Saccharomyces cerevisiae S288C: one gene and its partners. Changing the gene in region 2 together with the main gene of any one other region gives a genetic interaction. Each region holds a gene or a part of one and is shown on either strand. Other genes may lie near its edges.

The links.
Region 1: mutations in GAL2 (region 2) and MPH3 together harm fitness more than expected from each alone (negative genetic interaction), as found in Saccharomyces cerevisiae (one large-scale study listed by BioGRID).
Region 3: mutations in GAL2 (region 2) and FRM2 together harm fitness less than expected from each alone (positive genetic interaction), as found in Saccharomyces cerevisiae (one large-scale study listed by BioGRID).

The regions. Positions count from the first base shown.
Region 1 is NC_001142.9:738,084-741,842, reverse strand, and holds the start of MPH3 (alpha-glucoside permease), read left to right. Parts: upstream 1-2,026; coding exon 2,027-3,759. UniProt on the Saccharomyces cerevisiae protein: High-affinity uptake of maltose and maltotriose. Also transports alpha-methylglucoside, glucose and turanose but not melezitose or trehalose.
Region 2 is NC_001144.5:288,245-292,003, reverse strand, and holds GAL2 (galactose permease GAL2), read right to left. Parts: upstream 1,793-3,759; coding exon 68-1,792; downstream 1-67. Other genes in the region: EMP46 (Emp46p), read right to left, coding at 2,754-3,759. UniProt on the Saccharomyces cerevisiae protein: GAL2 is a facilitated diffusion transporter required for both the high-affinity galactokinase-dependent and low-affinity galactokinase-independent galactose transport processes.
Region 3 is NC_001135.5:74,045-77,029, forward strand, and holds FRM2 (type II nitroreductase), read right to left. Parts: upstream 1,242-2,985; coding exon 660-1,241; downstream 1-659. Other genes in the region: amino acid transporter AGP1, read right to left, coding at 1,974-2,985. UniProt on the Saccharomyces cerevisiae protein: Type II nitroreductase, able to reduce 4-nitroquinoline N-oxide (4-NQO) into 4-aminoquinoline-N-oxide (4-AQO) via 4-hydroxyaminoquinoline (4-HAQO), using NADH as reductant. involved in the oxidative stress response.

The DNA of each region.
Region 1 (3,759 bases), on a different chromosome or scaffold from region 2:
TTTTTACCGTTGATTTAAAGATCACCTTTTGACTATTTTATATGCCAATTCAGAAACCGTTATAATAGAAGTTTTCTACTACAAAATTTACAGGATGTTGTAGCTTGATTGCATAATATTTTTTTAAAACGGATAACCACCAACCCTCGTCAGTGACTTCCCATTATGAAAATTTTCTCTTCTAATCCTTTTTGGTACCCTTTTTCCTATCATGCGCCTCGAAACAACTTCCATAGTACGTGCCTGCTACTGTGAGTAGTTTACTGCCGCAGTCAAACACTATACTGATTCAGCATCCATCAGTAAGTGCGCGCTAAAACGACAACTTTTTCGTACCTTTACAAGTAAGGAGTGGTTAAGGTGTATAGCTCATACTAGATATTAAACTTCGGAGAAAAGTCCCTGTTTCAATGACAAATATGAGTTGCACAATAGAATTTTTATATCTATGATTACGCTTGGTAGGATGAAACTCTTAAATTCCGTTATAAGTTTTATAAATCGCCGTAATTGCAAAAATACAGGGTGATGCGTATAAGTCTCATAAAAATCAAATCATTCCCTCTATTGCAACCATATCAAATTTTGATGATGATTATTTTACAATTTTCATTGCCATGGATGAAAATAAACGCTGATATCTTTATAATTAACCCGGAATGGAAATTGTGCACAGTACATCAATGGCGTTTCGAGTATTAAGACCTGTGATTTAGAGCCAATTAGCCAAGTAAAGCGACATTTCCTTTCTATGTTTGGCATCTTTTTTTTTTGGCCTTAAAACAGTGTTTCTATAAAATTAAGGGCCAACTCTTACAATAGTAATGAGATTAATAAGGCCCAAAGAATATTTTGGCCATTTCTTTTTCGTACAACCATATAGTTTTCTCAAGTAGCGACGAAAGAGAGATAACTGAAACAAAATGTCATGGAAGAAGTGCTTATATTAAAAAATCTATGTCGGAAATATTTCTATAGGGAAAAGTATACTAAAATCTTACTCGAGCTTTGAAATGAACAAGCCTAAACCGCCCAATTCCAAGATCTTTAATATACTATAACTTGAAAGTCATACCTGTTATATCACTCCAGAGGTTATTGTGGGAGCATATTTAATGCTTTGTGGGTAAGCTTGATAAACTGTAGTTCTACCACTTTTCCCAGGATACTGATTATGGTAAAAGTTCTTATTTGTCTTACGACTTAGATTTAGCACTCACATTTGTCATCATATGTTGAAAAATCAAGCTGGAATTTATTGGTGGATCTTTCATCTCCATTTATACTTTTTACTTGTTTTTCTCCAAGCAAAAAGATTTCACGTTGTTCGGGAGGTAAATATGAAGTAGGAGAGCAGTCAGGTAGAGTGGTTATCCCATCAGCCAGAACCTGTCCGTAAACAGGTTGTGGACTACAGTATGTGTGTTTTTTTCTTTCTAATTACTCAATTTGGATATTTTGGTGACTATAAAGACCTCTCGTAAATTTCTGAAAATATGCTTCGGTTCGAATCTGTGGTCTGCAGTGCAGCGTGTTGGTATTTTACCGACAGTTTTAGCGAAATATGTATAGATCTGTCACGCTTGCAACATCGCGACAGGTCGATATACTAAAATTACAGCATGAATTTCTGATCTATAATCACACTGTTGCAGTTTCCAGAGAGTCAATCATATTAAGTCCTCAGTTTGAATCAATGTTGGCTTTGTTCTTCTGGAGAGGAATCAGCTCGTTATATGTTTGTCTTTTTCTCTGCTCGAGAGTCATCGCGACATTCCACACCCCGCGTTTTACGTGCACAGAATCTTTCGTAGAAGGGAGCATTTGACATCCTGTCAGCCATATGCAATGAGTATGCCACAAGTTCATGATAGTGTTGACTATAGAATATAAAAAAAAGGTGGGGTCATCTGTAATCGTTGTTTGTAATTCTTAGAGGCCTGTTCTTGGAATTATTATGCAAAGATTACCATCACAAAATCTAACACAAATAGAGATACAGGTCTTGTAAAGCCATTACCTAGCTATGAAAAACTTATCTTTTCTCATAAACAGAAGAAAGGAAAATACAAGTGACTCGAATGTATACCCAGGAAAGGCTAAGTCGCATGAACCCAGCTGGATAGAAATGGATGATCAAACTAAGAAGGACGGCTTAGATATTGTTCATGTTGAGTTCAGTCCGGATACAAGAGCGCCAAGCGATAGCAATAAAGTAATAACAGAGATATTTGACGCTACTGAGGATGCCAAGGAGGCAGACGAAAGTGAAAGAGGAATGCCACTTGCGACAGCATTGAATACATATCCCAAGGCAGCAGCTTGGTCACTATTGGTCTCTACAACTTTAATCATGGAAGGGTACGACACAGCTATTCTTGGAGCTTTCTACGCCTTGCCTATTTTTCAGAGAAAGTTTGGCTCACAAAATGACAAAACTGGAGAATGGGAAATTTCAGCGTCATGGCAAATCGGGCTGACCTTATGTTATATGGCAGGTGAAATTGTGGGGCTACAGCTAACGGGGCCCTCCGTGGATCTTGTTGGAAATCGTTACACATTGATTATTGCATTGTTTTTTTTAGCTGCCTTCACTTTTATACTGTACTTTTGCAATAGTTTAGGCATGATTGCTGTGGGACAAGCATTGTGCGGGATGCCATGGGGTTGTTTTCAGTGTTTGACGGTGTCTTACGCTTCTGAAATATGCCCATTGGCTCTGAGATATTACCTTACAACCTATTCAAACTTGTGCTGGTTATTTGGACAACTTTTTGCAGCTGGAATCATGAAAAATTCTCAAAAAAAATATGCGGATTCAGAATTAGGATATAAACTACCATTTGCCCTACAGTGGATTTTGCCAGTTCCTTTAGCACTGGGAATTTTTTTTGCACCTGAATCTCCATGGTGGCTAGTTAAAAAAGGAAGGTTTGATGAGGCAAGGAGATCACTTAGAAGAACTTTAAGCGGCAAGGGACCTGAAAAAGAAATACTAGTAACTCTGGAGGTGGACAAAATAAAAGTGACTATAGATAAGGAAAAGAGACTCACAAGTAAAGAAGGCTCCTATAGTGATTGTTTTGAAGACAAGATTAATCGAAGAAGAACGAGAATTACTTGTCTCTGCTGGGCTGGTCAAGCCACTTGTGGTTCAATACTAATAGGTTATTCAACTTACTTTTACGAAAAGGCTGGCGTTAGTACTGAAATGTCCTTCACTTTTAGTATTATTCAATACTGTCTCGGTATTTGTGCTACATTTCTATCTTGGTGGGCGTCAAAGTATTTTGGTAGATATGACCTTTACGCTTTTGGACTAGCCTTCCAAACCATTGTTTTTTTCATTATTGGCGGTTTGGGGTGCTCAAGTACGCACGGTTCCAAAATGGGAAGTGGTTCTCTTTTAATGGCTGTAGCATTTTTTTACAATTTAGGAATTGCCCCGGTCGTTTTTTGCCTAGTCTCTGAAATGCCATCTTCAAGACTAAGAACGAAAACAATCATTCTAGCACGTAACACTTATAATGTGGTCAGTATCATATGTAGCGTTCTCATCTTATACCAACTGAACTCTAAGAAGTGGAACTGGGGCGCTAAGTCAGGCTTTTTCTGGGGTGTCTTATGCTTTTGTACTTTAATCTGGGCTGTGGTTGACCTACCAGAAACTGCCGGAAAGACTTTCGTGGAAATAAATGAGTTATTTAAACTTGGAGTTTCTGCAAGAAAGTTCAAATCGACGAAAGTAGATCCGTTTGT
Region 2 (3,759 bases):
AAAATGAAGAAAAAACGTCAGTCATGAAAAATTAAGAGAGATGATGGAGCGTCTCACTTCAAACGCATTATTCTAGCATGGCCTTGTACCACGGTTTGTCGTCATGTTGTAAATCCTCTAAATCGTAATTATTACCTCTTCTGGATGAAGGAATCCAGCCTTCAGATTTCCAAGGTAAAACACCTTCTTCCCATAATTCTTGAATTTCTTCTAACGATAGGCCTTTAGTTTCTGGAACAAAGAAAAAGACATAAAAAAACATGGCAACCAAACAGCCCATGAAGACATAACCGTAGTAGAAGTTAATGGCAGATGTGATGAATGGGGTGAAAAATGCAATCAAGAACCCCCATACCCAATTGGAAGCAGAGGCCAACGCCATACATTTCGACTTGACTCTCAGTGGGAATGATTCTGCTGTGATGACCCAGGCAACTGGCGCCCAGGTTGTGGCATAACAGAAAATATAAAAACAGGTAAAGACAATCATACAGTTACCGGCACCTTTAGAAGATGGCTGGCTTTTACCGTGAGGATATAATCTAGTAACACCAACAGAGGCGTAGATGACCATACAAGCCATCATAGTGGCAGCGCCCAAAAGTAAACATTTACGATGTCCCAAGTTTTCGACAGTCCACAAACTAAAGAAAGTGGAGGCAAAGTTGACTACACCAATGACAATGGATGTTTCAAAGGAATCATCCAGGCCAACTGACTTGAAAATAACGGTACCGTAGTAGAAAAAATAATTGTTACCGGTTAATTGTTGGAACATTTGAACAAACACACCCATCAACAAACGTTGAAATACTTTGGTCTTGGTGGAAAATAATTCCCCCCAGGACGCATTGCCAGCCAGTTTTTCAGCTTCTATACCGGCCATGATCAGATCTAACTCTGCCTGGACGGCAGGATCCTCTGGTGACACCTTGTTAGACTTAGCAATGGAACGCTTGGCGTCTTCTACCTTATTCACCTCACATAAATAACGTGGGGATTCAGGAACTAACGTCAAAGCGCCAATCATAAATAATGACCAAGCGAAACATAGCCCTAATGGAACTCTCCATTGAACTGAGTTCGAATAGCTCTTTGTACCGTAATTAGTACAGTAGCCCAAAAAGATACCTGCAGTAATCATCAGCTGATAACAAGAAACTAGTGTGCCTCTCAAGTGCTTTGGAGCAATTTCAGAGATCAACATAGGACATAAGACGGCGATGCCGCCGACACCCAAACCAGATATGATTCTACCAATGAAATATTGGTACCACTTGTTGATAGAGGCAATTTGAATGATAATACCAACTATATAAACCGAGACGACAATCGAAAGACCCTTTTTACGGCCATACATATCTCCACCTTTGGAAAGTATAATACCACCAAAGGCACAGCCAATATTGAAAATGGCGACGATTAAACCTGTTCTGACGTTTGACAAATAGTGGGTACCATCCTTATGTTTCATACCAAACCTTCTCAAAAAGTCTGTTTGGACAACAAACCCAGAAATAGTACCGGTATCCCAGCCAAACATGAAGCCGCCGAAGGCAACACACAAACAAAGCAAGGAAACGGTAACATATTCAGACATGGGCTTCTTGGGTATCTCTATAGGAACACTTTGGGAGCCTTCAGACCCTGACTCACCGGCTTTCAATTCATCATTAGAATACTTTTGAGATTGTGCGCTTAAATGGGAATCTTTACTGAGTGAAGAGATCACGTCTTCACCAGCTTGGGGTTGCTGTGAAACAACAGGCATATTGTTCTCCTCAACTGCCATTATGAAAGAATTATTTTTTTTATTATGTTAATCTTGTGTTTACTTAACTATTACTATTCTTGATGATAATTGAATAAGGTGCATAATGAAGAGCAATTCACAACACCAAATTTTCAATCCAATTACTGATTGTTTATATATGTCTACAAAACTTATCCTATCTCCACATTTTAGCCTGCGAAATGTTTGTTTTTTGAACAATAGCTCTCCAGAATGTTGTATAATTTAAGAATATGTGCACAGTTAACTTTCTAGCAGGAGTATAATGCCATTTGCTCCCCATCTTGAGATGGGAAGGGCTTAACTAATCTCGGTTCGGAGTGATCCGCCCCGATACTGCCTTCTGCCTTAATATCGTCCAAGGCACATGGACCCCTGAACGGCGCAGATATCTCCGCACGGACGAAAGACCGCCGGTGCCTTCCTGAGGCAACCGCCCCTTTCGAATATAGATCACGTGACCCATTTTTAGCTACTAATAGAAAAAGAAATTGCAACCTACTTAAGCCATTCCGGAAGGAAGCTTTCCGAATTGACGTTGAGTACCTTTTGTGAAAAGATTCTACCGCATTTAATTGGAGTTTGATGCAAAGTAGTTGCCAGTTACAAGTTGAGTGCGGCTACCTGATATTTTCTAGTCCTATATTGCTGTGATCTGAATCTGGAAAGTTCCCCTGGTCCGTAAACCTCCTTGGATTAGTACAGCCCGTTATGCTCAGTAAATGTAATAGATGTGCCTTCTGCAGCGAAACTGGTATTGTAGGAGACATATTACTGTCGTCTTGGAAGCAAAATTAATGTTTTGCTGCTTTTACTGTCGCGTTTAACAGTTGATTTTCCCAAAAAAAAAAAAAGAAGTTAACAGCATCTATATAAAGAAGGATATAGATAACATGCACATTTTCGTATGTAATAGTTATGTTTCTTATATCTTGTACCCATATAACAAAGACACAAGAGCTTACAGAAGTTTGACCTTCTTGATGTCTTGGTTAATTCTAAACATGTAGTACGCCAATGTGATCATAATGAAAATCAGCAGTGCCAACCATACACTTATTTTGGAAAATATCTCATCATGACCTTTGGTCTGCTTGCCATACAGCTTGGCATCTTGTCGAATTTTTTCTTGTTCTTTTATCAATCTGTCCAGGTTTGCGTTCATCGAAAGAAAATCTTGGAAACTATCGTCACTTATGGCTGTTTTCTTCAGATCTAACAGTGGTCTTAAACGTTGAATCAGTTCACGTTCATTCTCCACAATCTTGTTCATCTTGCGGAGTAATGGATCGATATCATTTGCCATGATTTTCCCCTCCAACTTGTTCATCTTTTCGAAAAGCTCGTTACTCGTTATACTTTCTTCCTTATCAGAAAATGGCATCTTTTCCCTGAAACTCTCTTCACCAGTTTGAGAATTGATCACTTTAGTAACCACTCTGGGTTGTCCCATAGGATTCACGTTAGGAATTAGCGAATCCTCTATAACTCCGTCATAAAGCTTCATTTTCAAGATTTCAAACGATTCTTTGGATGCATCGTTGATAGCACTTGTTCCAATCCTAAATGGGCTGCTGCCCATAAATTTAACTTTCCTTGTCTGGAAACACACTCTGTTGTCCATTTGCAACTTTAACAAGTGATTATCTAGTGGATTGTAAGTCAATCTTAATGTTGATGGTACCATGGAATCCTGGTATTGGAACAGACATGACGCAAAGTACGGTGAGGATTCAATATCAAGATCTTTTGTTCCGTCATTCAAATACGCTGTCACGCTCTCTCCCAACTTATCGTCTAATCGTAACAATATCATCAAACCATTAAACTTCTTCGAACTTCCACCAAATAACTCGGTACTATCTCCCTCATTTCCTTGCTTCAGCCAAAATGCAAGACCCCCCTTTGTGCTGCCTCTGAACCCGAAACTTCTAAACGTCCACTCTATTGTCATTGCATCCTTTATT
Region 3 (2,985 bases), on a different chromosome or scaffold from region 2:
AGTACAAATTATGTAGTCAGTTCCTTCAGTATGGTGTCCTTATATACTGTAGTTTGGACAAGGTGCAAATGCCAAGACCCTAGCCCGAAAAGCTCGAGGCACCCCAGGATCTTTTTCTTTACGTAATTTTCACGTAAAACGCCACAGTCCGATTTTTCTCGAATAATCATTAGTAAAAGCGGTATACTGGATTATTGTACGATAACAAGGTAGAGCTTTATTACTAAGCTAAGACGTTCTTACATCAATAGTGCTGTTCGTTATTGATGTTAGGAGAAGGAGCGGGTCTGGTGAATAGTGTAAGCAGTGTTTCTGAACTTTTTCTTCGTCTAAGTCCTTGTAATGTAAGGTAAGAATGCAAGCATCTTGTTTGTAACGCGATTGTACGTTGACGTTAGTAAGTCACAAACCCAAGCTTAACTTCTTCGTGAGGAAGGAAAGTGTTGTCTCCTACTTTTTTCAAATTTTCGAATTGTATTTATATTTATTTAGTACTTCTTGAGTTTACATATCCTTCGTAAAAATGCAACTTTTGTCGAAAAACACTTCCAAAAAAAAATAATAATGAATTTATGAAGCATACTAACGAGCGAGCACATCGCTGAGGTATCATTACTTCATGAGATAAATTAAGATCTCCTCATATGCGAATTTCCTGTTCAGTGATAAACGTTGATTACGTTATTGATAAAAGTCTTTTCTTCTGGCAAGGCAGTTGGAACACCAAAGACCAATTGAGATTGTACAGTCCACGCAATAGGAACATCTTGAGGCAAAGCAGATTTGACGTAGTCATTATAGTGTTGCAAATTAGCCCCCAATCCCAATAGTTCGAGGGCAGTCCAAGACTGAATTTGCACAGCACCGGTCGTATGAGCGGCGCATGTTGGGAAAGCGGCTGCCAAGGCTGGAAAATCTCTTTGCAGTTTTTCAGTTGGTCCTTCATCAGTGAAGAAAATGACTGAACCGTAAGCCTCATCTCTGCAAGACTCTGGTCTCTTCTTGGCTTCAGCAGTTGGCATTGCGCTCGCAACAGCATCCCATATCCTTTTGTGTGTATCACCAACGATAATGACAGCGCGATTCACTTGTGAGTTAAAAGCTGTTGGCGTATTCTTGAGAATAACGTGTACAGTTCTCTTTACATCATCCAAACCGACACCTTGTGGTAATTCGGGCTTCAAATTGTAGATGGTACGACGGTTTGTAATAGCGTTTAAGTAGTTTCCAGTTGGGGACATTTCTTTGGCTTGGAGGTCTGGTGTTCTTGATTTTGATGGTGTATATAGCTTTAAAAAACCAAAAATGATCAACCTTTATATCTCTCTTCGATCACAACATGGGTGGAGACAAACACAAAGTAGTGATGACCCACTCAGGTGTTAAAGTGTGTCATATCTGCAAATGACACTGTATTTTTTTTTCCTTTGCCATTTATTGTCGCAGTAAGGAAAAGCGCAGAGCAAAGCTGACAAATTGAAAAATTATTCGGAAGAGCATTGACAAATATTGATTAATAATCAAGTAACACTCGCAGACATTGTTATTTCAGAAGTAAAAATATCGCAGAACAAGTTGGTTAAACTGAATGCTTCAGTCATTCTAATGCTAATTACACCTTAACAAAATTAAAAATTCTTAACGTAGATTTTTAAAAAAGGCAAGAAGATCGTTCCTGATGCACGACGAAAACGGTTGCACCCCTACTAAGGCAAAATTGCATATGCGGATGAAATCAAACCTCTTCTGTTGCATTAAGAACAAAAGGAAATCATTTTTCTCTCACTTCATATTATTTCACTTATATTTTCCTCTCCACTTCCATCACGCAATCGTTAGTGCTTTTTATTTTTTTTCTTCGCTCATAAAGGACTAGAATTAAAATGAAAATCGTCTATCATTACACGTATGCTATTACTACAAAACAGAAGTACAAAAATGAATAAATATAAAAGAAGTAAATGCTTTTTTTTTTAACACCAGAAGGCAACGACCCTTTTCCAATAAGGTCCGTTCCTCAAACGTTCCCTATATTCTTCGTCTTCTTGCTTGATTAATTCTTCATCAAAGATTTGTCTATGAGAATCTAGGTCGATCTTGTCTGCCCTGATGAACAGTTTCCAATCCTTGTGCCAGACCTTGTAGCCGACATAAAGTGCAATCAAGATTGGCATAGCCAAGTAGTTTTCGAAAAAGGCTTGTGCATCCAGCTTACCTTCACCAATGGGGGCGATAGCGACCCAAAATTGGGCAATAAGAATTAAAATCATCATAATGCAAGCGTAGGCAGATCCCCAAACACCAGTTTGAGATTTGAAACCCAATTCTCCAAGAGATCTCCCTTGGACTTTCATGGCTCTTCTAAATCTAAGATGGGATAAACAAATGGCAGTCCATGTGAAAAGCTGAGACAAACCAGAAATGGCCAATAACCAAGTGAAAACTTGTTCTTCCTTGGGAGATGCAGCACAGAAGGCAATAACGGCAAACAATGCAGAAACACCCATGGCAATCAATGGTCTACCGGCTCTGTCGATGTAGGAGAAAACCTTAGGAGCGTAACCTTGCTCGGATAGAGTTAAAAATAAACGAGCACTGGAGTAGAAGGAGGAGTTAGCCATGGACAGCACGGAAAGTAGAATAACGGCGTTAATGAAGTGTGGGACGACACGGACACCGTGGGATGCAACAGCAATGACATATGGCGAGGCTTTAGTACCACCACCGGTAGAACCCAATAATTGATCGGAATTGTATGGCACCAAGAAACCCAGTAGAATAATGGTAGCCAAGAATAGGAATAAGATTCTGTAGATCATTTGTTTGGCCGCACCTGGAATGGCCTTTCTTGGATTAGATTGTTCTGCAGTGGTGATGGCAATAAACTCTGAACCACCAAAGGCAAAAGCAGCAGTCACTAATGTTGCAGCAACACCTTTAAATCTGTCAATGGCATGTTTACCATTGAAAGCGCCCGGATCGTGC